Linked DNA regions of Astyanax mexicanus. The protein of the gene in region 2 interacts with the protein of the main gene of each other region in a pairwise test. Links are inferred from orthologs where the notes say so. Each region holds a gene or a part of one and is shown on either strand. Other genes may lie near its edges.

Region 1 (13,287 bases), on a different chromosome or scaffold from region 2:
TCCCCTACAACTCCCCTACAACTCCCTACCTACAACTCCCCTACAACTCCCCTACAACTCCCCTACAACTCCCTACCTACAACTCCCTCCCTACAACTCCCTCCCTACAACTCCCTCCCTACAACTCCCTACCTACAACTCCCTACCTACAACTCCCCTACAACTAACTCCCTACAACAACTCCCCTACAACAACTCCCTACCTACAACTCCCCTACCTACAACTCCCCTACCTACAACTCCCCTACCTACAACTCCCCTACCTACAACTCCCTACCCACAACTCCCTACCCACAACTCCCTACCCACAACTCCCCTACCTACAACTCCCTACCTACAACTCCCTACCTACAACTCCCTACCCACAACTCCCTACCTACAACTCCCTACCTACAACTCCCTACCTACAACTCCCTACCTACAACTCCCTACCTACAACTCCCTACCTACAACTCCCTACAACTCCCCAAAAACTCCCCTACAACTCCCCTACAACTCCCTACCTACAACTCCCCTACAACTCCCTTACAACTCCCTTACAACTCCCCTACAACTCCCTACCTACAACTCCCTACCTACAACTCCCCTACCTACAACTCCCCTACCTACAACTCCCCTACCTACAACTCCCCACAACTCCCCACAACTCCCCTACAACTCCCTACCTACAACTCCCTACCTACAACTCCCTACCTACAACTCCCTACCTACAACTCCCTACCTACAACTCCCTACCTACAACTCCCTACCTACAACTAACTCCCTACAACAACTCCCCTACAACAACTCCCCTACAACAACTCCCCTACAACAACTCCCCTACAACAACTCCCCTACAACAACTCCCTACCAACAACTCCCTACCTACAACTCCCTACCTACAACTCCCTACCTACAACTCCCTACCTACAACTCCCCTACAACAACTCCCCACCTACAACTCCCTACCTACAACTCCCTACCTACAACTCCCTACCTACAACTCCCTACCTACAACTCCCCTACAACAACTCCCCACCTACAACTCCCTACCTACAACTCCCTACCAACAACTCCCTACCTACAACTCCCTACCTACAACTCCCTACCTACAACTCCCCTACAACAACTCCCCACCTACAACTCCCTACCTACAACTCCCTACCTACAACTCCCCTACAACAACTCCCCACCTACAACTCCCTACCTACAACTCCCTACCTACAACTCCCTACCTACAACTCCCTACCTACAACTCCCTACCTACAACTCCCTCCCTACAACTCCCCTACAACTAACTCCCTACAACTAACTCCCTACAACAACTCCCCTACAACAACTCCCCTACAACAACTCCCCTACAACAACTCCCCTACAACAACTCCCTACCTACAACTCCCTACCTACAACTCCCTACCTACAACTCCCTACCTACAACTCCCTACCTACAACTCCCCTAAAACTCCCCTAAAACTCCCCTAAAACTCCCCTAAACTCTGGATACGAGGTGAAAATAAATTTGAATATTTACAGTATAGTATTTTAGGTTAATTTATAGTGTTTATGGAACTATTTTAAATATTTAGATTTGTAAAGTTGTTAGTGTATTTTTTTAAGGTCTATTGTTTAAATTCTTCAGCTGTTTTTTTTCTGATAATAAAGTTTGATTTTTATATATATTGTATGATGGTTTGGTACAAAGTAAATCCAATAATAATGAAAACCTTCATTTAAATCCTTGAGGTTTTATATTATATAAACTCCTGACAGTAAAGTAAATCACAAACCTATATTTAAGCCCAGTCGATTAAAAAATAAAATAATAATAAAAAAAACTGTGATAAACATTTTAGGTGATTCCGCCCAGCACTAAGTGTGATAGTTGTGAAACATTGTGCACGGTTGTATTTTCACACAGTCAGACGGTACCTGACCGCTGCTCCAGTTGTCTCTCAAAAGCAGAAATGTTGAAAGTGGGCGGCGGCCTCCTGCGACTCATCCCTCCAATCAGATTACTCAGGGGTTCGGTCACCAGGTCCGGCAGCTCCAGTCCAGACGCCCCCTCACTTTAACAGCCCAGAAAACCAGATTACAGACTGAACTTGCAAAAGTATTCACACCCCTCAAACTTTTCACATTTCGTCTCCTTACCACAAAACTTAAATATGTCTTAAGATTTTAAGTGATCAATTAACACAAAGTAGCACAAAACTGTGATATGGAATAAAAATGATACACGTTTTTCACAATTTTACTCAAATAAAAATCTGAAAAGTGAGACATGAAAAGTATTCATCCCCTTTTCAATCAACTGCCTTCAGAAGTCACTTAATGGGTTAATAGAGTTAATCCAGCTGTGCGTAATTTAGTCTCAGTATAAATACAGCTGTTCTGTGAAGACCTCAGTGTTTTATTAGTCCAAGACCAAGAAGGAAGAACTCAGCAGACAGGTCAGAGATAAAGTTGTGGAGATAAAGAAATTTAAAGTAGCATTAGATTATAAAAACATCTCCCAAACTTTAATCATCCCAAGCAGCTCTGTTCCATCAATCCATCATCCAAAAATTTACCTTATTCTACACCTGTTTCTACAAACCTACCAACCATCCACCCAAACTAACAGATCCAGCAAGGAGAGCACTGATCAGAGAAGCAGCCGAGACCCATGATCACTCTGGAGGAGCTGCAGAGATCCACAGATCAGGAGAATCTGTTCACAGAACAACTATAAGTCCTGCTCTCCACAAATCTGATCTTTATGGAAGAGTGGAAGAAGAAAAACATTGTTGAAAGAAAGACGTAAGAAGTTCTGTTTGCAGTTTGTAGCTACAAGTCATGTAGAAACACAGTAAACATGTGGAGGAAGATTCTGTTCTCAGATCAGAACAACGTTAAGCTTTTTGGCCCAAATGCAAAGCACTGTATGTGGAGGAAAAGTAACACTGCTCATCACCCTGAACACACCCTCCATCTGCACTGTGAAACATGGTGGAGGCAGCATCATGCTGTGGGGATGAGCTTTTCTTCAGCAGGGACAGATTTAGGAAGCTGGTCAGAGTTGATGGAGGGAAGATGGATGAAGATAAATAAATACAGAACAATCCTGGAAGAAGAAAAGCTGTTGGAGGCTGTAAAAGACTGGAGATCTTCCAGCAAGACGATGACCCTAAACATACAGCCAGAGCTACAGTGGAGCTATAATGATTTAGATCAGAGAATATTCATGTGTTAGAATGATCCAGTTAAAGTCCTAAAGACCTAAATCTCATTGATCTTCTGTGGAGAGACATGAAAACTGCTGTTCACAGACACAACGCTCTCCATCCAACCTGACTGATCTTCAGCTGATTTATAAAGAAGAATGGAGGAAAAATCTCTAGATAAAGTCTCTAGATGATCAAAGCGGGTAGAAATAAACCCTAAAAGACCTGAAGCTGTAACTTCAGAGAAAAGTGTCTCTACTAAGTGTAGAAATAGGGGGGCTGAATACTTTTGCACGTCACTGAGTTATACATGTGGGGAGTTGAGAATGAGGACGTACCTCAGTCGGCTGCTGGTTTCTGGGAGCGGCTGGTTGGTGTCGGGCGGCGCCGGCTGACCGGAGAGCAGCAGAGACGCCTCGGCCTCTGAAACACAGATCCCAGAACAGTTAAATACCGTTAAACTGAGATTAACAGTAATCACACTGCTGCCGGACACGACACTGACCGGTCTGGATGATGCCCCGGAGCAGACCACGGGGTGTGATGTCCTCATCATACAGAGAAGAGGAGGACACGACCGGAGTCTTCACCGCCCGACTCTGAGACCGCCTCCTTTTAGTGGGAGGAGCCGGAGACTGAGAACTGCTCTACACAGCAAACAGATTCATTACATCACCATTAATAACAGTAACACCAACTATAAACACTTATTAACACTTATTAACACTTATTAACACAATAATCTGAAACTTAAACAGTTTTATTAACGATATAAACACCGAGTCAGTTACATATTACATATTACAACACTTACTTTTAATAACAGAATAATGTTTTCATTTATCATCATCCTTTTTTATTCATCTGACATCACTAATTAACATCAGCTGTGATGGGCAATATGCCAAAAATGTAAATTACAATATTTAGAAACACTCTAACGATAGGGATTAGTGCAATATTGCTAAAAACTGTAATTCTTTTTGCAACATATATTAAAATATAACAAAATAGTCATTTTTTAGTAAATATTATATTGTCTGTTTGTGAAATTGAACATTAGGGAGCAGAATAAATATATTGCAGTAAGTTTCATTGCTCAGGTTCACAGAATATAAAACATACTTCACAAAGTAAATAAATTAATGAAAAAAAAAACATATCAAGGTTTATATCATTATATAAATAAAATAAATAATTATACATATTATGTATAGTCCTTGATCACATGACAATAAGAGCTTAGCACACAGTAAACAGCACTGTGTGAATCTGTAGTCTAATTATGGATAAGAACATTATTCTGAGATTTAAGTTCAGGGAGAAATATTTAACCTTTATTCAAGTGAACAAACCCTGCCATTATTTACATTTTAAAAGATAATTAATCAGAGTGCATCGAATTCATTCCAGTGCGCTAAACTGTAAAACAATCCGAATCCATTCAGAAAACGTAGAATTGTTACCTAATTTCACCAGAAGTGTGCACAAGGTGTGTGCAAGACTGTAGAAAAATGTATGATATTGGGTAAAAAAATGCACATAAATTAAAGCATTTTTATATCACTGCACAAATTAAACAACCTAAAATATATATTTATTTAAATACAATGTGACTATTACATATAAAAACACTGTAATGATAATGCTGAAACGATATATTGTGTATATTTTTGCATATATTGCGATATACAGACCAAATGGACAAATAGCGTCAGAATCCTAATAACTGCCAGTAACATCATCATATTCCAAACACAGTGATTTACATTAAAATATGCTGCACTTTCAGCCAATTCATTATAACTATATTAGAATTAATATTCTGCAGATGGGGAGTTCTTCGGATGCTGAGAATAAACAGAAAAACTCAAAGAAAAGTAAACTGTGTATCACAATAATAACATTTATCAGGATACAATAGAATATTATCACATTAAACTCATATAAACAGTAAATATAAACAGTGAATATATAAGAAGTGTACCTGCTGTAGTTTGTGTTTGAGTTTGTGGCGGAGGACGCTCTGTGGGCTCTCGGCTGGTGGGAGGTTCCTGACTCTGGAGCTCCTCCTCCTGCGGGAGTCGGCCTGAGTCTGAGACACACTGCAGAACCAGGAGCATCACCATCATCACACTTATCACAATAATCACAATAATCATCTCTTAACTTTGACACAGTAAACCGGTCCCGGCTGCGTCCACTCCCCTCACCACTGTGATAAAATAACAGCTATATACTGTGAGTATAGTGAATGTGGTGAATACAGTAAGTATTGGGAATGTGGTGAGTGAGTATAATGATTGTGGTGAATAAAGTGAGCATAGTATATACAGTAAGAATAGTGAATACGGTGAGTATAGTGAATACAGTGAGTATAGTGTATACGGTGAGTATACTGTATACGCTGAGTATAGTGAATCGGTGAGTATAGTGTATACGGTGAGTATAGTGTATACGGTGAGTATAGTGAAAGTGGTGAGTATAGTGTATACGGTGAGTATAGTGAATACGGTGAGTATAGTGAATATGGTGAGTATAGTGTATACGCTGAGTATAGTGTATACGGTGAGTATAGTGAATCGGTGAGTATAGTGTATACGGTGAGTATAGTGTATACGGTGAGTATAGTGTATACGGTGAGTATAGTGTATACGGTGAGTATAGTGTATACGCTGAGTATAGTGAATATGGTGAGTATAGTGTATACGCTGAGTATAGTGTATACGCTGAGTATAGTGTATACGGTGAGTATAGTGTATACGGTGAGTATAGTGTATACGCTGAGTATAGTGAATATGGTGAGTATAGTGTATACGCTGAGTATAGTGTATACGCTGAGTATAGTGTATACGGTGAGTATAGTGTATACGGTGAGTATAGTGTATACGGTGAGTATAGTGTATACGCTGAGTATAGTGTATACGGTGAGTATAGTGTATACGCTGAGTATAGTGAATATGGTGAGTATAGTGTATACGCTGAGTATAGTGTATACGCTGAGTATAGTGTATACGCTGAGTATAGTGTATACGATGAGTATAGTGTATACGCTGAGTATAGTGTATACGCTGAGTATAGTGTATACGGTGAGTATAGTGTATACGGTGAGTATAGTGAATGTGCTCAATGTTACTCAGTGTGTTTCTATTAATGTACAGAAGTGAATTGTGTAGAATAGAACAGACTGGGTGTAGTGTGGGTTTATAATGATCTGAATCTGCTGTAAATAATAATTATAAAATGTTATTGTTTAATATCACAAATAAATAAGAGCAATATAAAACATGTAACTTATTCTACATTACAGTAAATTACTGCAGTGATCGGAGTTAAAATGAGGAGAATCATTAAATACAGAGTAAAACAGAATTATTACTGAGTTATTATTAAACTCTAATCCAGCGGCTGACCGCTGTTACTCAGATTAATCAGATTAAACTCTAATAAAACAGATCAGAACCGGTTCGGTACCTCCGGGTAACGGGAGAGCGGATCAGCTCCGAACCCAAAACCCTCCTCAGCAGAATCCGAGCCGACACCTCGTCCTCCTCCTGCTGCTCCCCCGAGTCCATTACTCACTAATAACAGCTTCAGTATTACAACTATAATCACTATAATCACTATAATCACTTTAAATCAAACTAACCCGCAGCTTTAGCTTCTGTAGCTACAACAACATTCAAACCTACTACTGATGACGCAATATCCCGCCCAGACCAGCGCGCACAGCGGCATCATGGGAGATGTAGTTTTATGTAGTTTAGTAATCCCGTTTCCGGAGTGTTTTTTCTCACACCGCATGTTTTTACTATTTCAAAGTTCAGTATTAAATAATTATTTTCTGCTTATTTACCCTGGAATACTGTTGCGCTTAAATATGTATATAATTGTTCAAAACATAAATAATTATATATAAATATATATAGAAATAATATAAACAATGAACACAAAGCTTGCAGTTTTTTTTTACACTTTTTTAATAACATTTTAGCAATCAAGTAAAGCTTTTTAAAATAAATGTAACAACTAAGTGTAATATTTATAATATTATTTATACACAGTAATTACAAGATTTTTTTTTTTTGATAAAAAAATTATATATTTAAGGTCTTTAGAGTTGCAATCAGAATGTATGCAAGTGAAACGGTCGCAAATTCAAACCACAAAAAATGTGTGTAATGTTTTAACCACAGTTTTCACAAAGAGTACAAATATTTATCAAAATTTCTTTGTTTTATTATTTTTTAAATACGGAAATGTACAAATCAAGGAGGGGAGCTTTCCAGTTTACACTACTAGTACATTTTCAGCAAATGGAAAAAATAAACAAAACAAGACAATGCTAATTAAACAAGGAAACAATAATTGTACTTTGGGCAAGTTTTACACAATTAAAAAAGCAAAGACTTCAATATTATAGAATGCTTAATATTATAGACGTTGTTCTATTCAATCTCTTAAAATATTCTAGTAAACAACGATTATCCAAAATGATAGCAAGATTAAATCTGAATATCTCTATTCAAGTTATCCATATAGTAAATTATGTCATGTGAGGTATAGTGAGGTATATCAGTACTTTTAATTGACAACCAATTACGGATGTCAGCCCAAAATAGCTTACTTTAATTACTTTTGACAAATAAATATTCTATAGATTCTGTTTCTCCAGCAGCCCGTCTGAAATATGAATATTTTATATATAAGGTTAATAATATATGTGTTTATATTATTATAATATATATATATATATATATTGTTTTCTATTCGGTGCAGCATGTAATACTTTATATTATCGGTATATTTCTGCGTGTTTACGATGTAAGAATGTGTATATGGTCGCTGTGCAGTGAAAAGCACGTATCTCCATTCTTTTATAAAGCTGCTGTTTCTCATTGTACAGAGAGGACGGGGGGTTCTGCGCAGTTCTGCGCCGATTTGACCCGCACCGACTCCGCTGTGGAACAGGAAGTGGTAAGCATTGTGGGAGGTGTAGTTCCGCTTCTAGGCCGCTGCGCTGATCAGAGCGGAGAAGATCCAAACAAACAAAAACATCAAACAAACTTTAAACAGCGGAGATCAAAGGCTTTATTAGTACCGATAGGCGAGTTTCCCGCGCCGCCATGCCGGGCTTCACGTGCTGCGTGCCGGGCTGCTATAATAACTCGCACCGGGACCGCGAGCTGCGCTTCTACACCTTCCCGAAGGACCAGACGCAGCGCGAGATCTGGCTGAAGAACATCTCGCGCGCGGGGGTCAGCGGCTGTTTCAGCACCTTTCAGCCGACCACCGGCCACCGCGTGTGCAGCGTGCACTTCCCCGGCGGCAGGAAGACCTACACCATCCGGGTCCCCACGCTCTTCCCGCTGCGGGGCGTCAACGAGCGCAAGAGCCGCAGGGGCAGGAATAAGAAGCTGTTCGCGGCGCTGCCGGGGTCCGTGCCGGGTGTCGTGACGGGTGCCGTGCCGGGTTCCGTGCCCATCATCACCAGCGTGGTGTCCATCGCCGGGGAGGGAGAAGGTAACGGGGAGACGACCGTGGTGCAAATCGGACAGAACGGGCAGTACATCACGCCGGTGGACCTGACCGCGGCGGGGAACGCTGCTGACCACAGCGAGGATTTTGTAGGCGCCGGTGCCAGTGGCAGGGATGGTGCCGGGTCCTGTGCCGGGGCCGGGTCATGTGCCGGGTCATGTGCCGGATCGACTGCCGCGTTTACGCAGGCCGCCGCAGCTGCCGCTGGAGTCCTCATCGCTGAGCAGTGTGGCGCGGGGCTGTCCGGCGAGGACCACTGCTACTCGCTGACCAACGGCACCACCTCCGCCGAGCTGCTGCGGAAACTGAACGAGCAGCGGGACATCATCGCTCTGATGGAGGTGAAGATGAAGGAGATGAAGAACACCATCCGGCAGCTCCGCATCACCGAGGCGCAGCTACAGGAGGAACTCCGGGAGAGGGACCGCTTACTGTCCGCTGCCTCCACCACCGCCGCCACCGCCAGCTCGTCTTCAACCTCGCCGTCCTCCTCGTCCTCAGTGAGGAAGAAAGTCTGACCCGCTGCGGACGAACCTGAGACCCCTGGGAACACGTTTTTATACGCTGATTTATTTTGTATGATGGTAAACTTTGCCGTGATGTAAAGAAGACAGGAAAATAAAAAAAATAAAAAACAGAAAAAATAAGCAAAATTACGATAAAAGACTCATCGAACGTCGTAAAATAACGCACACCTCTTTACGCCTGTCACTGAAGAGAGGTACTGTGTGGGCGTGGTCATGATATTGTGCTGTCCATCACAGGTGAACAAACGTTTGTTTACGTTGCTATGGCAACACATGGGCACCCCCGCCTTGAGGCAGAGAAGCATAACTGTGTGTGTGTGAATATTCGGATAGCTCGCCGGGTTCAGTTGCTCAGACTAGAAGAGACATGCTAATGCTATGTCAGCCTTACGATTGGTAGGGGGTTCTGCTGACATCAGCCTGACCCACTTTTAGCCCCGCTCATTCTTTCTGCATCCAGTGGAGAGTGATAGTGGTGAAATACAGCAGAGATTTATTCGACTTCAGGGGGAATTCATAACAAGTTCTTTGAACACAGAAGAACCAGAGGAGTAAATGAGCCGATTAGAATCAGAACTCTTTAGCTTCCCAGGGGCGAATAAAAGAGAAGAAAAGATAAACTGTGTTTCAGAGCTTCTGAGAGAAAAGTAAAGCTGCAAGGCGACGATTATCTCTGACTGTTGCGCTGGATAATCCAGGTCCAGGCTCTAAAGATCTGCAGGCAGGTGGAACCAAACCCTGGGACGGATTTGAAGCATCTGGACCTGGATTACCCAACTCTAATGTAGCTAATTAGCTAGTTCACCTGTTTGAGGAAGTTCCCTTGTTTTTAGGCTTCTAGCTTTCTTCATTATTAGCTGAGCATCTTGTAGTAGAAAGATACTTTATTAATGCAGCGTTTTCCAGCCCGTCGAGTCCTGCAGTCCCACAGCTCTCTGCACATTTTAGTGTTTATACTGCTTTAAGGTTCTTAGTGCACTAAATATTAACATACTAACTCCTGATGAACAGTGATGAACACTACAGCTGCAGCTAATGATTATTTTGGTAGTTAATTAATCTGAAGAGTATTTTAGTTATTTAGTAATTAGTAGGTAATTGGGACACAGCCTAAGTGCCGCGCGTTGGGCCTCCAGAACCCGGGCTGAGAAACACTGCTGTAAGTAAATGAATTAAAGTTAGGTCATCAATCTGTGTGTGTTGTAGAATCATCACACACTCGCGAGCAGCTCGGACTGGGACTTTTACAACCCAGACATGGAGAATGCGGGTCCGGAAAGTTTAACCCCCCCCCCCCCCCCCCCAACTCCCCCAGGGGTCGAGATTCCAGCAGCATCCCCATGAGGGTTCTGTACAGGAGCCCAACTGTGTGGATACCCCCCCCCCCACCCCCCCCAGTCCAGCCAGATATAATTAACTCTAAACTCTTCCTCCACCTGTTTTTTGGAAATATGAATAAATTTGTGTAGAATGATCAGAATATTTACCTGATATTTAATCCCAGTTCTGATTAAAGAGGATCAGGTTCAGACCTGGGCAGAAGAACATCATCCTGATCTGGATTCCTCTGGACCTGGATTCTCCACACTGAACTTTTCGTTCTTGTTTTATTTGTTTTTTTAAGTGTGTTTAAGTGTGATGTAAAGTGATGATGAGGTTTTGCTCTGGGCTGCAGTTCTCCTGGATCTTCACCTGGATGACGTTGTGTTCGAGTCCAGAACCGGATTTGTTATTATTCACTTTTTTAAATATCTGAGTGGAATTAAGAGAATCTGTTCCAGGATTTTCACCTGTTTGTAGAAAAGACCCGAGAGCTTAAATTAAAAATAAAAATCACAGACTGCTGAGTCTCTTTAGCTGCAGTTTTTGTTATTGTGATGAACAGTATATGTGATATCACATTTCATAAAGAGATTTTTTTTTTTCTGTCGCAGAGCACCTTCACACTAATCAGGTTTAGAATTTAGATAAAAGAACAAACAACACTCTGAACATAAAATATTAATATATAAAACAGTCATCAGTATAACGTTTAACCTCACAAACCCTACTTTTATTATTCATATTTAAATACTAATGCAGAATAACTGAAGTATCTTGTGGAGTCCCACAGGGTTCAGTTGTTGCACCAATTAAACTGAATTATTACAACAGTTTATCATTATTGTATTGCAGCTTTTAATACAGAGTTTAAGGGGTTAAAACAGTGACCATCTGCATATTCCATCATAAAGCGTAGGTCTGTCTCTTATAACTATATATTTTGGGGATGAAAGTGTTGCATAAATTATTGCGTTAAACAATATTTTCCCGATAAATCATAATTTAAGTCACAATATTAATACAATAATGGCATTATAATGCAGTTCAACATTAGCCTGAAAAAGCTAATTGCTATTTATGATGGATATTTAGACGCTGGAATTTGAATGAAATATGTTTAAATATTTTAAATAAATATAAAGTAAATAATAATAGAGTAAACAGTGAGAGACTGACTCATTCTGATTAATTAAACAGAATTAACGGGCTGTCTGTACTTTTTTTTAACAGGCCTAAAAAAGACGGTAATTAATGCTGTTCTCCTGGATAAACAGTGAATAAAGAATACTCAGTTCTGAACAGTAAATTTTATCTACTGCTTACATCATGAAAACATCTTAAATTTGTACCATTTTCCCACTCATTTATACAATATAAACATAGTTATTTTCTGACAGGTCTGTGATGCATGTGGTGATAATTTTGATTAGATCACAGATCTGATCAATAATCACTACTTTAAAATGATCAGTTTAATATTTATAGGTTTGTTTAAGTAAAATCAACATTGTGGTTCATTACAGACAACATTTCTCCCAAATTCCAAATAAAAATATTCTCATTTAGAGCATTTATTTACAGAAAATGAGAAATCTCCACACCTGAATACCATTAAAAACCTCTGGAATATAATCAAGAGGAAGATGGATGATCACAAACCATCAAACCACCAAACTGAACTGCTTGAATTTTTACACCAGGAGTAAAGCAGCATAAAGTTATCCAAAAGCAGTGTGTAAGACTGGTGGAGGAGAACATGATGCCAAGATGCATGAAAATAAAACTGTGATTAAAAACCAGGATTATTCCACCAAATATTGATTATTTCTGAACTCTTAAAACTTTATAAATATGAACTTGTTTTCTTTGCATTATTTGAGGTCTGAAAGTTCTGCATCTTTTTTGTTATTTCAGTCATTTCTCATTTTCTGTAAATAAATGCTCTAAATGAGAATATTTTTATTTGTAATTTGGGAGAAATGTTGTCTGTAGTTTATAGAATAAAACAACAATGTTCATTTTACTCAAACATAAACCTATAAATAGCACAATCAGAGAAACTGATTCAGAAACTGAAATGGTGTCTATTTTTTTACAGATGTTTATATCGCAATATGTATCAATGTTTATTTACAGTGAAATGATTCTTAAACACAATTTCAATATTTTATTATCAGTATTTATTACAGCAAACATTTCATGATTTGTTAAATTTTATTTTCATGACATTGTCCACACTGACACCAGAAATATGGTCCAGATCATGTGACTGTAGGAAAGAACCTCTTTTTGTGGAGTTTAGTAAAAACCATATCATACATTTACGACATTTAATAAGAATTCAGAAATAAATCTATAAATACAAACAGATCAATCAGTTTTAATCAGTTGAAACCCTGCAGTACGGGTTTATCCCGTTTCTGTAAATAAATGTATATTAATGATTAATAAACGTAAATCACACACAGATCCCTCACAGACAAAACCCCGTATCTCCACTCCGGCCGGTGGTAGAGTATTAAAGTCGTAATCGTTTGATGTCCTCACTGCGGAAATCCACCCTGAGCGCCAGGACCTGCCGCACCTCCGCCGGGGTCAGGCGCCACGTCAGAGGGCCCGAGTTCGGCCCCCAGTAATCCAGGATCTCCGACACCTGGAGCCCAGAAGAAGAAGAACAGCAGGATTTTAATTCTGATATAAAAAATAGCAGACTTTTCA
Region 2 (13,310 bases):
CATAGCTGTATCGCTAAGCAAGCTGAATGACTGGGATTCGAACCCAGAGGCCGCTGGACCACTCAGCACCAAAGAGAAAAGAATGTTAAGAGAAACACTAAAGTTCATAACCATTGGCCTCATTCTGCAAAACATATCTATTATAAAGTCCATAAGATACATAATTCAGCAGATTCCCGATTTCTATTTTTAACTGCAAAATTGCTTACAGCTCTGATATAAAAATAATGATCTCACTCCCTTCGTAAAGATAGTTATAAAAACAAATTACTAAAAATAAATACATTTGTTGATACCTTTTTCTTTTACGCCTGCTTTTACAGAAATTTGACTACCCTTGGCGTGAAGGTGCTTCACGCAGCAGCATGGGTACATCAGATGACACTGGTGTTTACTGTATCTACTGTAACTGTAGATTAACCCTTATTTATACACAGGAATGAAAGAAATCATAGGGGAATTTGTTGGGTTTTGGCAAAATACTTGGAAAGGAAATTTACTTAAGTCCCATAATTCACTAAACTGCAATGTAAGACTAAAACTAATTGAACTAAATGTGTACAGTGTAGCAAACACAAACTTTACTTAAGATTCAAATATAGGAAACCCCCCTTTAGACCAGAGCTAACAACCCACAGGCAAAAAAGTCGACTTAAAACACTTTTGTGAATCCAGCACAAAAATGGATTTCCTTTAATTTATTCAGTCCCAGCAGCCACAGCTACATCCTGAGTGTTGTATATGGTACCAGTGGAGCTAACAGACAGCCTTTTTGTAATATTTATCAGGCCAGTGTGTTTTGGAAGCCGTATATTGTACAGCAGAAGCAGCAGTAGCAGATAATACTCATCATACATCTCATCAACATCTAGCTAACCAATGGGTAATCATCATCATTCATAACACGCACACATTCTGGACAAACCTTGAGGAGATAATGATGCTACACAGAGGCAAGCTATTCTGTTTGAGAAGTCCTACCTCCAGGACCACAGCATTAAGGAAATGTGGAAAATTAGAATGAACACCAGAATGGAATGGACATTTCATAATCTATTTTTATTCAACAAACGACAAAAAAAGGAATAGATCAAAAAATATGGTTTTATAGCAGCTGGAAGTACCATGTATGTTTTCCGATGTTTGTTTTTCTGCATTTGGGTCGTTTTAATGTTAATTAAAATATTTGATGATTATCTCTTGGATTTGGATTGTTTTTGTGTTGTACTGTTAAAATTAGAAGAGACACACAATAGGATACAGGACATTACACAAATACACAAACACGCACACACACACTATAAACTATGAGTTGTATATCTAAAGACAAAATACAGTAGGTATTACACACAATGCATTATAGCCTATGGACTTTATCTGGAGATGTGTTGACCAGGAATGACTTAATAATTTAAGTTAAAAAAAAAAAAAAAGACTTACATTTTTTGCATGTACATTTGCATGATTTCAGTGTTCCCCTTAGCTCCAGTCTACAGCTTTAAAGACTCATTAGCTAATGTTGGGCCTTGTCCCAATTACAATACAATGGATACTTATTAGTGTGCAAATCTGTTTGGGTCAAAATCTTCAAATCTGAACAATGAATCCAGTTTCCAGTCCAAATCCTTTCTTCAAGATGGTTATTTTTAAAAGCTATGTATTCCGTGTTTTCATGTGGACAGGAGACAATCAGTATTGTTAATATAGTTAAATCTCAAATACCTTCCCTTTATGCTCCTTCTATAGTAAACTACATAACTGATAAAACTATAGCATTTACACACTGATCTACATATAAATAAATATATATATATATATATATATATATATATATATATATATATATATATATATATATATATATATATATATATATATATATATATATGTTCTAGATTTGTTCCATTACAAATATTTAATGCTCTATTTTGCTTTGTGATTTCTTGACTTGCATAGTACACTAATTAAGAAGTACTGAAGATACAGGTGGCTATAGCTTGATGAAAACTACTAGTGTATGTCAAAAATGTACAATGCCACTGAAAAGTTACCTTATTTCAGTTACTCAGTTTAAAATGTGAAACTCATATTATATAGATGTATTACACACAGACTGAAAACCCAAAAATCAGTGTCTCAGAAATGTTTAATATTATATAAGACCAATTGGTAGTTTTGGCAGTGTAGGCAGTTTTCTAAATCCTGCTGGAAAATAAAAGCTGCACTGCACTGACTTTAGACTTGATATAACACAGTGGAACAACACCAGCAGATGACATGTCTCTCCATTAAACCATCACTGATTGGTGGAAACTTCACACTAGACCTCGAGCAGTTTGGACTGTGTGTCTCTCCACTCTTCCTCCAGACTCTGCTCCATTGATTTACAAATGAAATGTAAAATTTACTGATGATCAGTGATGGTTTGGAGAGACATGTCATCTGCTCAAGTCAGTGTAGTTTTGTTTTCCCACAAAATCTTACAGCACTTCATGCTTCCCTCTGCTGACAACTTTTATAGAGATGTGGATTTCATTTTCCAGCAGTACTTGGCACACTGCCCACACTGCTAAAAGTGTCTTTTATAAATGTTTTAAATTTCTTGAGATGCTGATTTTTGGGTTTTCTTTAGTTTTCATGAGTTTCACATTTTGAACTAAATTACTGAAATAAAGTAACTTTTCATTGATATTCATTTTGAGATTTTTTGAGAAGCACTAATAGACACTGGATTCAAGAACTCTGAACTATGTGCCAGTTCAACATTCAGGACAGGGCTGAGGAACAGTAACAGACATTCTGGACAAGCTAGTTTAAAAAAATAAGAATATGATATTAAATTATATTGCCAGATATGATAAACAGCCTATGCCACTCAGCTGACCTCATCTTACTGCAGACATGGAGCACAGTGCAGACAGACAGACTGCAGGACTGGAGGTGATGAACACTGATCTATATCAGGACCAACATGCTGAGGAATATTGAGGCCAGAGCAGCTCTACAGCATCGCAGGGATTCATCACAGCAGAAGGAGTCTATACTGGACTGGACTGGAATATAATTTCCACTCCACTGTGACTAACTGGAAGGTGAGTCTTCATTAGAGGAAGAAGCAGGAGGAGGTGGTGGAGGAGACGGGGGCTGCTGTTTCTGATCTTTCTGGTCCTTCTGGCTCAGTTGAGCCCGGAATTCCTGCCGGGCCTGCCGGTTGGACTCCAGCAGTTCGTGCAGTTTTCCGTTCAGGGCATCGTTCCTCTCCTCCAGGTCATCCAGACACGAGTTGATCTGGTCCAGCATGGAGTTAATAGCTGCATACTCTTGGTTAATTAAAGAAAAAGTACAATTATTTTTTAATTATAGTGTCAATCTGTTTGCTATTTTATTGGTACATTAATAATACTTTTAAAATAGTAATAATGCTTTTATTTTATAATAGTACTTGTACTGATAATGCAATTGTTTTTTTTTACTTGGTTTCTAAAGTAAGAAAGTTCAAGGCATCATTATTCTTAAAGTAAGCACACTAAACTACGATTCCCACAATGCACTGTAAGAAAAATGGTCACACTCTTTTAAATAGAAATTATTTTGATATATCCACCTAATAAAAGGATTGTAAATTGTGCATAATGATTTGGATCATGTAATTCTTATGCCTAAACACTAATTTTTTTTACTTTAAAATAATTTTTACATCATTTACATTAATTAATTATTCAGAGTAACCTACGTCTGAATCCTGTTACACATCTTATAGTGTGCAAATTAACTGTCCGTGTACTTTGGCACGCAGACACATCACAACATGCAGATCAGACAATCAATAATACCGCCCTCCTGCTGACCTACAACTCTCTGGGTCTCACCACCATCAGAGGCACACTGCTGCTGCTGCAGCTCAGCCAATCAGCTCTCCTTTCTGACCTGCCCCTAAACCCATACCCATCATCACCCAGTGCCCCTCCCAAACTACCCCTCCGATTTTTTTAGCCTTTTTTAATTAATCTGAGCTGAGGGTGAGGTCAGCTAAAATCAAGGGGTTTAGTGCCCCTTTAGGAGGGAAAGAAATTCAAGTAATTAATGCTTGATGAGTTAACTGAAAGCCTGAATTCCAGGTGACTACCTTATAAAATCTGTCATCTAAGCAAGAGGTGCTACTTTGGATAATCTAAAATATAAAACATATTCTGGATTGTTTACCTTTCTTTTACATTTTTTTCATAGTTTAGATGATTTTATTATTAAAATAATAAAAAAACACTACATTTAATTTGTGTCCAAACTTTTGACTTGTACTGTATATTAACACAACATAATAAAATTGTTATTTTCCTCCATTAATGCTATTTAAAAACTGCTCTTATTAATTGCCTTATGAATACATAATAGTTAGACCTTTCCATCTGAACCCTTGCTGGAACCCTAGAGGTCATATATAATATACATATACATATATAATAAACTATTATGAATGAATTAAATGAATTAAATATATGATTATAGATTAAATCTACCCTAAAATATGTTTATTCCTAATTTAAACCCATCATAATGGCCTAGTTAGCTTCATGAACAACTTTTCCGTTCCACCTTAAATCACGCGGCCGTTACCCATACACTGTCTGGTCACTCAGTTCCCTGTTCAGTACAGTACGCACTGAATCTCTTAAGGTGGAACGGAAAAAATCCACCAAGAAGCTATGATCGAAAAAAAAACTGATTTATTCAAGCCCAGAGGTCATAAATGGCTACAGACTCGTGGTTAATGAGATGACAGTGATCATTAACTCACCTTCCTCATTGAATTCATCCTCATCATCAATAATTCCGTCATCTGCTGTCAGGTTAGGGTCTCCGTTTGGTCCGGACATTTTCATCTCACTCAAAATCACCCCAACTTCACCAAAACAGCGCGATTATCAACAGTAAAACAGCCGCAAACTACACACAGCGGATATGAATATAACCCCACAGCACTGCTCTATCTCATCCCGAACGAATACAGTAATTTAAAAGCACAGTTTTAAAATAAAACCTGAATTAAAGTGCTGTTAATGCGCCATAGAGATCCCGCTGCTGCGGCTACTGTATCAGCTGACTGACAACCACCACACTGAGGCCCTTTAACTGCCTGTCGAAAATAAAATAAAATAAAATAATAAAATACAATAAAATAAAATAAGAAGGGGGGTTACAAATAATTTACTATCTACTGTGACATTATTTAACCTAAACTAAATTACTATGCAACTATTTTAGCTTTGACATATTTATTTATTTTTTTATGCATTTTTTTTAATTATTATGAATTTATTATGAATGAAATGGCATACAGTTGTACCCAAAAATGTATTTAAAAATATTTAAATAAATAATTAATATTAATGTGTTGATATATACTTTTATTATATTATGTCTACAGTGTAATTATTATTTTATTATACTTTTTATTTCGTGACAATTGTACTATTGTTTTATTTTTATTTTTATTTTTATTATTATTATTTATGTAATAAAATGTTTGTCTAACATCACTTCTTATTATATATTGTCTACAGTGTGATTATAATGATTATTTTATTACTCTTTTTTATTTTCGTAATAATTGTACTATTATTTTAATCCATATTAAATGTTTTATTTCTTTTATTTATGAAACTTCCTTAATTTAACGATTCAGTTTTATATATTTTTATTATTATTTATGACACATACTGTGATTTTTTTATCATTATTGTTTATTTTTATTGTTTTGTTTGTATTACGTATAATAAAAATACATATATAACGATAGTAAGAATATTTTTTTATTATATAATTATCAAAGAAACACCAAAACAGCATCATGTGTTGTGTAATCTTTATTAATCTTTATTACAAAATCTTTATTAGCCACGACTACATGGGCTTTTATTTTGTATTGTTTTATTTTATTTAGGCGCTCTGCAGGTTGCCTTTCTGCCTGGAGGACCCTCAAAAAGCAGCATGGCCGCTCAGATCACACAGTAAATAATACACAGCAGCAGAAAGTTATCAGATCTAGCTGTGTGTTAATAATCTCTGTAGATTAATAATCTGCTGCAGGTACAGAGCTGCTGATCTGTGAACTGGTTTAGAATATCAGTATGAAAATCAGATCAGTGAACTGAAACAAACAGCTGGTTTATTTCCACACGTGGAGGATCTTCAGCTTCAGATCTACAGAGATGGATGAGCTTTCAGCTGAGCTCAGGAAATTTCTCCAGAACCAGCCTTTTCTGGAGCTCACTGATGGCAAGAAGGTGCTTTAATACTTCTTAATATATGACATTTATAGATGTGTGTGTTCTTTATTTGTCCTGGGTATAATATGTATAGGCTCAATCTTGCATGTAAACTTTTCTAGATGTTGGTGCTGCTTATATACTCCATGAGAACTTCTTACAATAAAGCCTTTATTCTTCATTACATGTGTTCGACAAATTGTTGGAATTAGGTTTGCATCGATGTGGGAATTCTGGGCCAATGCCAATATCAGATATTAGGGGTCTAAGAAAATATTAATTTGATATATATCAAATAATCGCAATATTTTGTTTTGCAATACTGTATTAATTTAAAAAAATAATTATTAGCTTAGATGTCAAGATTGGGGTCAGAAGTGGTTCATTTTGTGTGGTGATTAAACCGCGACCACTAGATGGCAGTGTTGTACAGTTAGATCTATTCACTGTTCTGACTGGATTTAAAAAAAAGTTAATTATTCTTTTATTGAGATTTTATAATTGTGTTTTTATACTATTACAATTTGAAAGAATTCCAATATATTGAATGGTGACCCCTGTATCATGATTTGTATTGTATTGGTAAGTTTTTGCAAATACACACAGCTCTATCAGATATTACATATGTAAGTTATATAGTTACAATACCAGTGAAACGTTTTGACACACCTAATCTCATTCAATGTGTGTTTTTTCTTTTTTTTTATGTTTTTTTTTTTTTTGCATTGTAAATTTAATATTAAAGACTATATTAAAGATATACAGGAATACATTCTGAGTAATTTAGTAAACAAAAAGTGTTAAACAAACCAGAATATGTTTTAGAAGTAGCTCCTACATAGCTTATAAGTAGCTTCTAATCTCCTAAATGGTATTTTAATCTCAGTGTCTTCATGAGGGAGAGTCACCTGGAATAGTTTTCTCAGCGTCTTGAAGGAAGGAGTTTCTGGAGGTGCTGAACAATAGTTGCTGCTGGTTTTTCTTCATGCTGTGAAGCTGCAGCTCATCCCAATTAAACCACCTCAAATCACCATCTCAGTTCATCAGGTTTAGATCAGGGGATTAATGTGGAGGATTAACACTTTTTTACTGTTTACTACAGAATTCTATACAGTAAGTGTCCCTTAATTGTTTTCATGTCTTTAATATTAATCTACAATATAGAAATTGCTTTATATAAGTAAATTAAGCAAACAGTGACTGAGAAGGTGTGTCTAAACCTTGGACTGCTACTGTATCTGCAAACTTATCATTTATTTACCTTATTTTTAGGGGCATGGCAAAAGACACAGGACACAATACTGGTTCCTGTCCCATGACATATGGCATGTCAGTCAGTATACTGGCCTTTAAGGGATTATGTGACAAGTCTAGTCTAATCAAAACTGTTCTCCGCTTTCAGGTCAAGTGCACTTTGAATGGACACGAGTTTCCCTGCAACCTTACAGAGCTGCAACATTTCATATCTGGAAATAAATACAAGAAACTGTCTGCCAATGCTGAATTCAATTACAGCCAGTATGAACCACATCTGGTCCCCAGTACCAAACAACCGTAAGTCCAGTCACTGCTAATATCTGCAGGTTTCTTATAGTTTTTGTGTGTTCTAAATATCATTAGAAATCTTATCAGATATGTTTTTTTTTATATATATATAAATAGGCCCGAATCCATATTACAATTTTTGTACCCTATTTTTTGGACATAAGGCGCACAAGATTATAAGGCAGATAATGCAACACTAGTAAGGAACAGGGGTACAGCAGCATTAGCATTAGCAATAACACTACACTGAGGAACCCTGAGTGTTCCAGTAAGCCTGGAAGATATTAGCTAGCGGTTTGTCCCAGGTAGCACTTAGCCCAGTTAGCAACTAATGCTAATGCTGCTTCAGCCTTGAATCTTGGTGCCGGAAAGATAAACTGAGGCTAAGGCGAACATGATTTTATTATTGTTTATTTATATTCTGACCTCTTATTTAAGGGCTTGATTATAATATCTTGTTAGCTTAGCTGTATTAGCTAACATTCAAAGTTTCTTTCACTACAGAAATCACCTTTTTTGCAAGCTGACCCTGAGACACCTCAATCGAGTTCCTGAGCACGTTCTACGACACATTAATGGAAAACGCTATAAAAAAGCTCTAGGAGAATGTAAGTACCTCTCTAATAATGACATGAATATTTTATTATTAAGATTTAGGATCTAATTTTAAAGATGTACATCTGAAGAGGATAAAAAATAAGCAAATATCAGGAATTATAGATTTATTGGAGTCACGGAATAGTAGTTTGGTATTGGTAGTTTCACAAAATTTAACATTCAGAATTCTTCAACGCAGGTATTCCTATTTAATTTAATTCCTTTCTAAGTATTAGGGGTGTCGCGATTTTGATTTTTCATCGAAATCGATCGAAATTATGTCATGGTCTCGAGCATCGAAGTCAAAAAGCGGATCGATGATCCCTCCCGCAAATGGCGCAGCACACTGTAGCTCAAAGAGCAGCTCTTTCTCCAGAGAATTTAGACATTCTCATCTTCTTAAAGAAAAACTTGAAAATATAAAAATAACAGTTGTTTTGTCTAGCCTGAAATATGTTAATAGTTTTGGTACCTTAAGGAGCATCTTTCTCTCAGATGAAGTTAATAATGTATCTTTGTTAAAGAAAAAAACTTGTCATTCTCAGGAACCGAAAAAGTCTTAAAGTCTTATTTCTCATGTTTAACTGTAACAGTAGGATAGAGTTCAGTTTGTTAAGGCTTTAATTGTTCTATTATTTTATACATGACTATTCCTGTATTTTTTTATTATATATTTTATGTTGCACATTGCTGCTACCAAAAAAAGTCACTAGATGGCATTACAAATATATCTTAATTAAATCATTTAAATTTGACCATTAGTGCCTAATGTGGTGTATTACAGATCACTTGTATCACTTTGCATCACTTATATCAAGCCCACCTTTTGAGATAAGATATTGTAAATTTGATAAATCAAACCAATGAATGACCATAGACTAATCTAAAACTGGCATAGGCCTCTCTGCTGTAAAAAAAAAAAGAAAAAAGAAAATCGAGAATCGAATCGAATCGTGACCCTAAAATCGGAAATAAAAGTTAATCGAGGATTTAGAGAATTGTGACACCCCTACTAAGTAGTGATTTTAGTCTCTTTAAAGGTGTTCTAGGAAGGGTAGGTGCGATTACTGCAGCAATAAAATGGATAACATCTCGTTTTCAGATGCTTGTTAAGGTCTACAAACTCTTTTGGAACACACACACGGTACTCTGTGCTAGACCGGCCATAAATTAATCTAATCTAATCTGGTTTCAGATGAGGAGTGTGTGAAGCAGGGGGTGCAGTTCGTTCCAGCCCGTCTCAGACACAAGAAACAACGCAAGCACACAGATGATGGCATGGAGAGTGCCAGCGAGAAGCAACACAAGCCAAAACAGAAGCAGGACAGTGGAATCTGGGCCCCCAGCTCCAGCGACGAGGAGGGCAGCGACTCAGAGGACAGCATGTCCGACCTCTATCCACGTGAGTGTCCCACACTCCAGCTCTTAAAGCACAAAAACATGTATGCTAAAGTTGATCGCACACTGAATTTAATGCTGAGAAGTCCTCTGAAAATTAAAAAATACTGTTCCTATTGCAGGTATACATGCCAGTGCTCCAGAATTCCCAGTATTGTTCTATTCCTCACCATATCAGCATATCATACTGCATTTTTCAATATTATATTAAATTAAAACCAAAACAAAATCACAAAAATCATGAATACACTATATTGCTAAAGTACTGTATTTTTGCACTATAAGGCGCACTTAAAAATCCATTAATTTTCCCCTAAAATCATCAGTGCACCTAAAAATCTGGTGTGCCTTATTTATGAATTTTATCAGTCAGTTTTTAAGAAGCAGTAGAGCCAATCTGCTAAAGTACAGCGTTATACAGGAGTTTCAGTTTAGTTCTCAATCAGTGTAAACATGGATCAGTATTAGAATGGATCAGTATTAGCATTATCCGCTAACCACAGCGCTAGCTTTTTCTCCGTTCAGAGGTGAATATTATCAGACTGCAGTCTGCTGCTAACCCCGGTTAACACTGCTGGAGCAGCATTAGCATTAGCCGTTAAGCGCTAGCTCTAGCTCTTTCGCTGTTCAGAGACGAGCATACTGGACTTTAGCCTGCATTTTTACCATGTTAAAACAAGCCACATGGGACGAACTTTTAGCTGATGTCACCCTGGCTTACTGGAACAGTCAGGGTTTCTCTGTATGGTGCTGGTGGTTAGCCTCTAATGCTAATGCTGCTTCACCCAGCCTTCATGGAAATCTGGAAATCTAACCTTTCTGAAATAAATGGTAAACGGTTTACTCACCCAAATAAACAGTTTTCACAAGAAAAAACCTTACTATTGTCATACTTATAATCCTACATCCAATACATTGTATTGCACTTGGTTTTATAAACCTGTGGCCATAGAGTTTAGTTTCAGTGATGGGTAAATACTTCTGGCAATATAGTCTATATGACCACTTTAAAAGAAGCTGCTCAGCTCACTACAAATGCTAATGACCATTTTCTTATTTATAACGGGTGCCTAGCATACATATATGTATTCATATACGATATAAATATTTATCCCACTGTTCCATATGGTTGGCGTTAATTTATATACTGAATTCTGGCACATCTAGGCCAATTACTGCAGATTTAAGATTATGTTCTCACTTTCTGTTCCCCACAGCCACATTGTTTACTCTAAAGGAGCCAGAGGAGCAAGAAAAAATGGAGGAAGATGAAGACAATTTCCTGACAGATGAGGATGATGAAATGGAGATTTCTGAAAAAGATGAAAAACAAGCAAAACAGAAACGCAAAAAGGTCTGTTAGCATTTAGGAAGAATGTAATACAATTTAGACCTTGAGATTTAACTGTGAAAGTATGAGGTTAAAAATATTTCAAATGTATAACTTGTTGTAAATAAAGGTTGTACAAGGTAATATACTTTTATTATATTTTAAATATAATTTCTGACAGTGTTGCACTTCTTTTGCAGGTCCAGTCTGCTGGTTTTACCAAGAAATTGAAGAACAACAGGAAAAAGAGAGGTTTTAAGCCTGCTGGCAAAGTTAAAAAAGCTAAATAAAGTTCTGTGTGCATTAACCCTGACTCCACCTTTCTGACTATGATTCTGAATATGTCTCATTCACATTCGCATATTACTGCTGATATCTGTGAAAAGAAGCCAAATCAGTATTATGAAGGATTAACTGTCTTCATGATGTCTACAGGTGCATTAAAAAAATAATAATTATCTATCTAAGTGGTCTATTTTAAGTGTTTATTTCTTTTATTTCTTTTATTGTTGACTATTACAGCCAATAAAACCCCAAAATCAGTGTCTCAGAAAATTATAATCTTATATAAGACCAATTGATACTTTTGGCAGTATGGGCAGTGTGCCAAGTCCTGCTGGAAAATGAAATTCGCATCTCCATGAAAGTTGTCAGCAGAGGGAAGCATGAAGTGCTGTAAGATTTTCTGGGAAAACACTGCACTGACTTTGGGCTTGATGTAACACAGTGGACATGGTTTGGAGAAACATGTCATCTGCTGATGTTGGTCCACTGTGTCATATCTCATTTCTGCCGAAAAAGGGTGTCCTTCACTAAGTTATAATTACACAATGCTAAGTTATAATTACGAGATGCAAATTACAACTTGGTATCACATAATTATGACTTAGTTTGACTTAGCAGTAGGTCGAAATGGGATTCTATACCACTGAGAAACACTGCTGCCTCTTTAAATTTAAAAGAAGATATATTAAGGACTGCTTCCTAAAATTTAAAGGAAGATATTAAGGACTGCTGCTTTAAATTTAAAAGAGAAATATTAGGCACTGCTGCTTTAAATTTTAAGTACATACATTAAGGACCTTCTACGGTGCATACTGCCTTCCGCTTGATGCGGGCTGGGATAGGCTCCAGGAACCTTCCACCCCCGTGACCTTGAAGGATAAACCGATTGTGACGATGTATGGATGGATATTAGGGACTGCTGCTTTAAATTTAAACAAAGCAATATTTAGGACTGCTGCTTTAAATCTAAAATAAGAAATATATAGGACTGCTGCTTAAATTTAAAAGTGAAATATTAAGGACTGCTGCTTTACATTTAAAAGAGAAATATTAAGGACTGCTGCTTTAAATTTAAAAGAGAAATATTAAGGACTGCAGCTTTAAATGTAAAAAGGAAGTATTAAGGACTACTGCTTTAAATTTAAAAGAGAAATATTAAGGACTGCTGCTTTAAATTTAAAAGAGAAATATTAAGGACTACAGCTGTAAATGTAAAAAGGAAGTATTAAGGACTACTGCTTTAAATTTAAAAGAGAAATATTAAGGACTGCTGCTTTTAAATTTAAAAGAGAAATATTAAGGACTGCTGCTTTAAATTTAAAAGAGAAATATTAAGGACTGCAGCTTTAAATGTAAAAAGGAAGTATTAAGGACTACTGCTTTAAATTTAAAAGAGAAATATTAAGGACTGCTGCTTTAAATTTAAAAGAGAAATATTAAGGACTACAGCTGTAAATGTAAAAAGGAAGTATTAAGGACTACTGCTTTTAAATTTAAAAGAGAAATATTAAGGACTGCTGCTTTAAAATGAAAAGAGAAATACTAAGGACTACAGCTTTAAAAAAAAAAAAATTAAAGACTGCAGCTTTTAATTAAAAAGAAGTATATTAAGGACTCTAGCTTTTAAAATTAAAAGAGAAATATTAAGTACTTCTGCTTTTAAATTTAAAAGAAGAATGTTAAGGACTGCTTCTTTAAATCAGTGAGGAGGGGAGTGGGGGTCCGTCGCAGGTGTATGACGTCACCGCAGCGGGAGTGTGTGTTTATGTGGCTCAGGGTGCTGAAGAGGCTGAAATTCAGTATTTATATAAAATACACCGCGTTTACAGGTAACCATTCGCTCTCTCTCTCTCTCTCTCTCTCTCTCTCTCTCCCTCTGTGTGTGTGTA

Evidence for each region.
Region 1: the proteins of bbln (region 2) and thap11 interact in a two-hybrid assay, tested with the Homo sapiens proteins (2 studies listed by BioGRID and IntAct). The link is inferred for Astyanax mexicanus from reciprocal best matches to the Homo sapiens genes BBLN and THAP11.

Annotation. Positions count from the first base shown.
Region 1 is NW_026040053.1:949,085-962,371, forward strand, and holds thap11 (THAP domain-containing protein 11), read left to right. Parts: upstream 1-8,118; 5' UTR 8,119-8,307; coding exon 8,308-9,237; 3' UTR 9,238-11,102; downstream 11,103-13,287. Other genes in the region: trichohyalin, read right to left, coding at 1,908-2,044, 3,520-3,604, 3,687-3,828, 5,169-5,286, 6,656-6,756. UniProt on the Homo sapiens protein: Transcription factor, which has both transcriptional activation and repression activities. Also modulates chromatin accessibility.
Region 2 is NC_064408.1:8,309,176-8,322,485, reverse strand, and holds bbln (UPF0184 protein C9orf16 homolog), read right to left. Parts: upstream 5,119-13,310; 5' UTR 4,881-5,118; coding exon 4,796-4,880; intron 3,321-4,795; coding exon 3,082-3,320; 3' UTR 1,851-3,081; downstream 1-1,850. Other genes in the region: surf2 (surfeit locus protein 2), read left to right, coding at 6,210-6,284, 7,669-7,820, 8,316-8,419, 9,604-9,810, 11,024-11,160, 11,337-11,426. UniProt on the Homo sapiens protein: Essential for intermediate filament organization in intestinal cells, interacts with intermediate filament and regulates intestinal lumen morphology.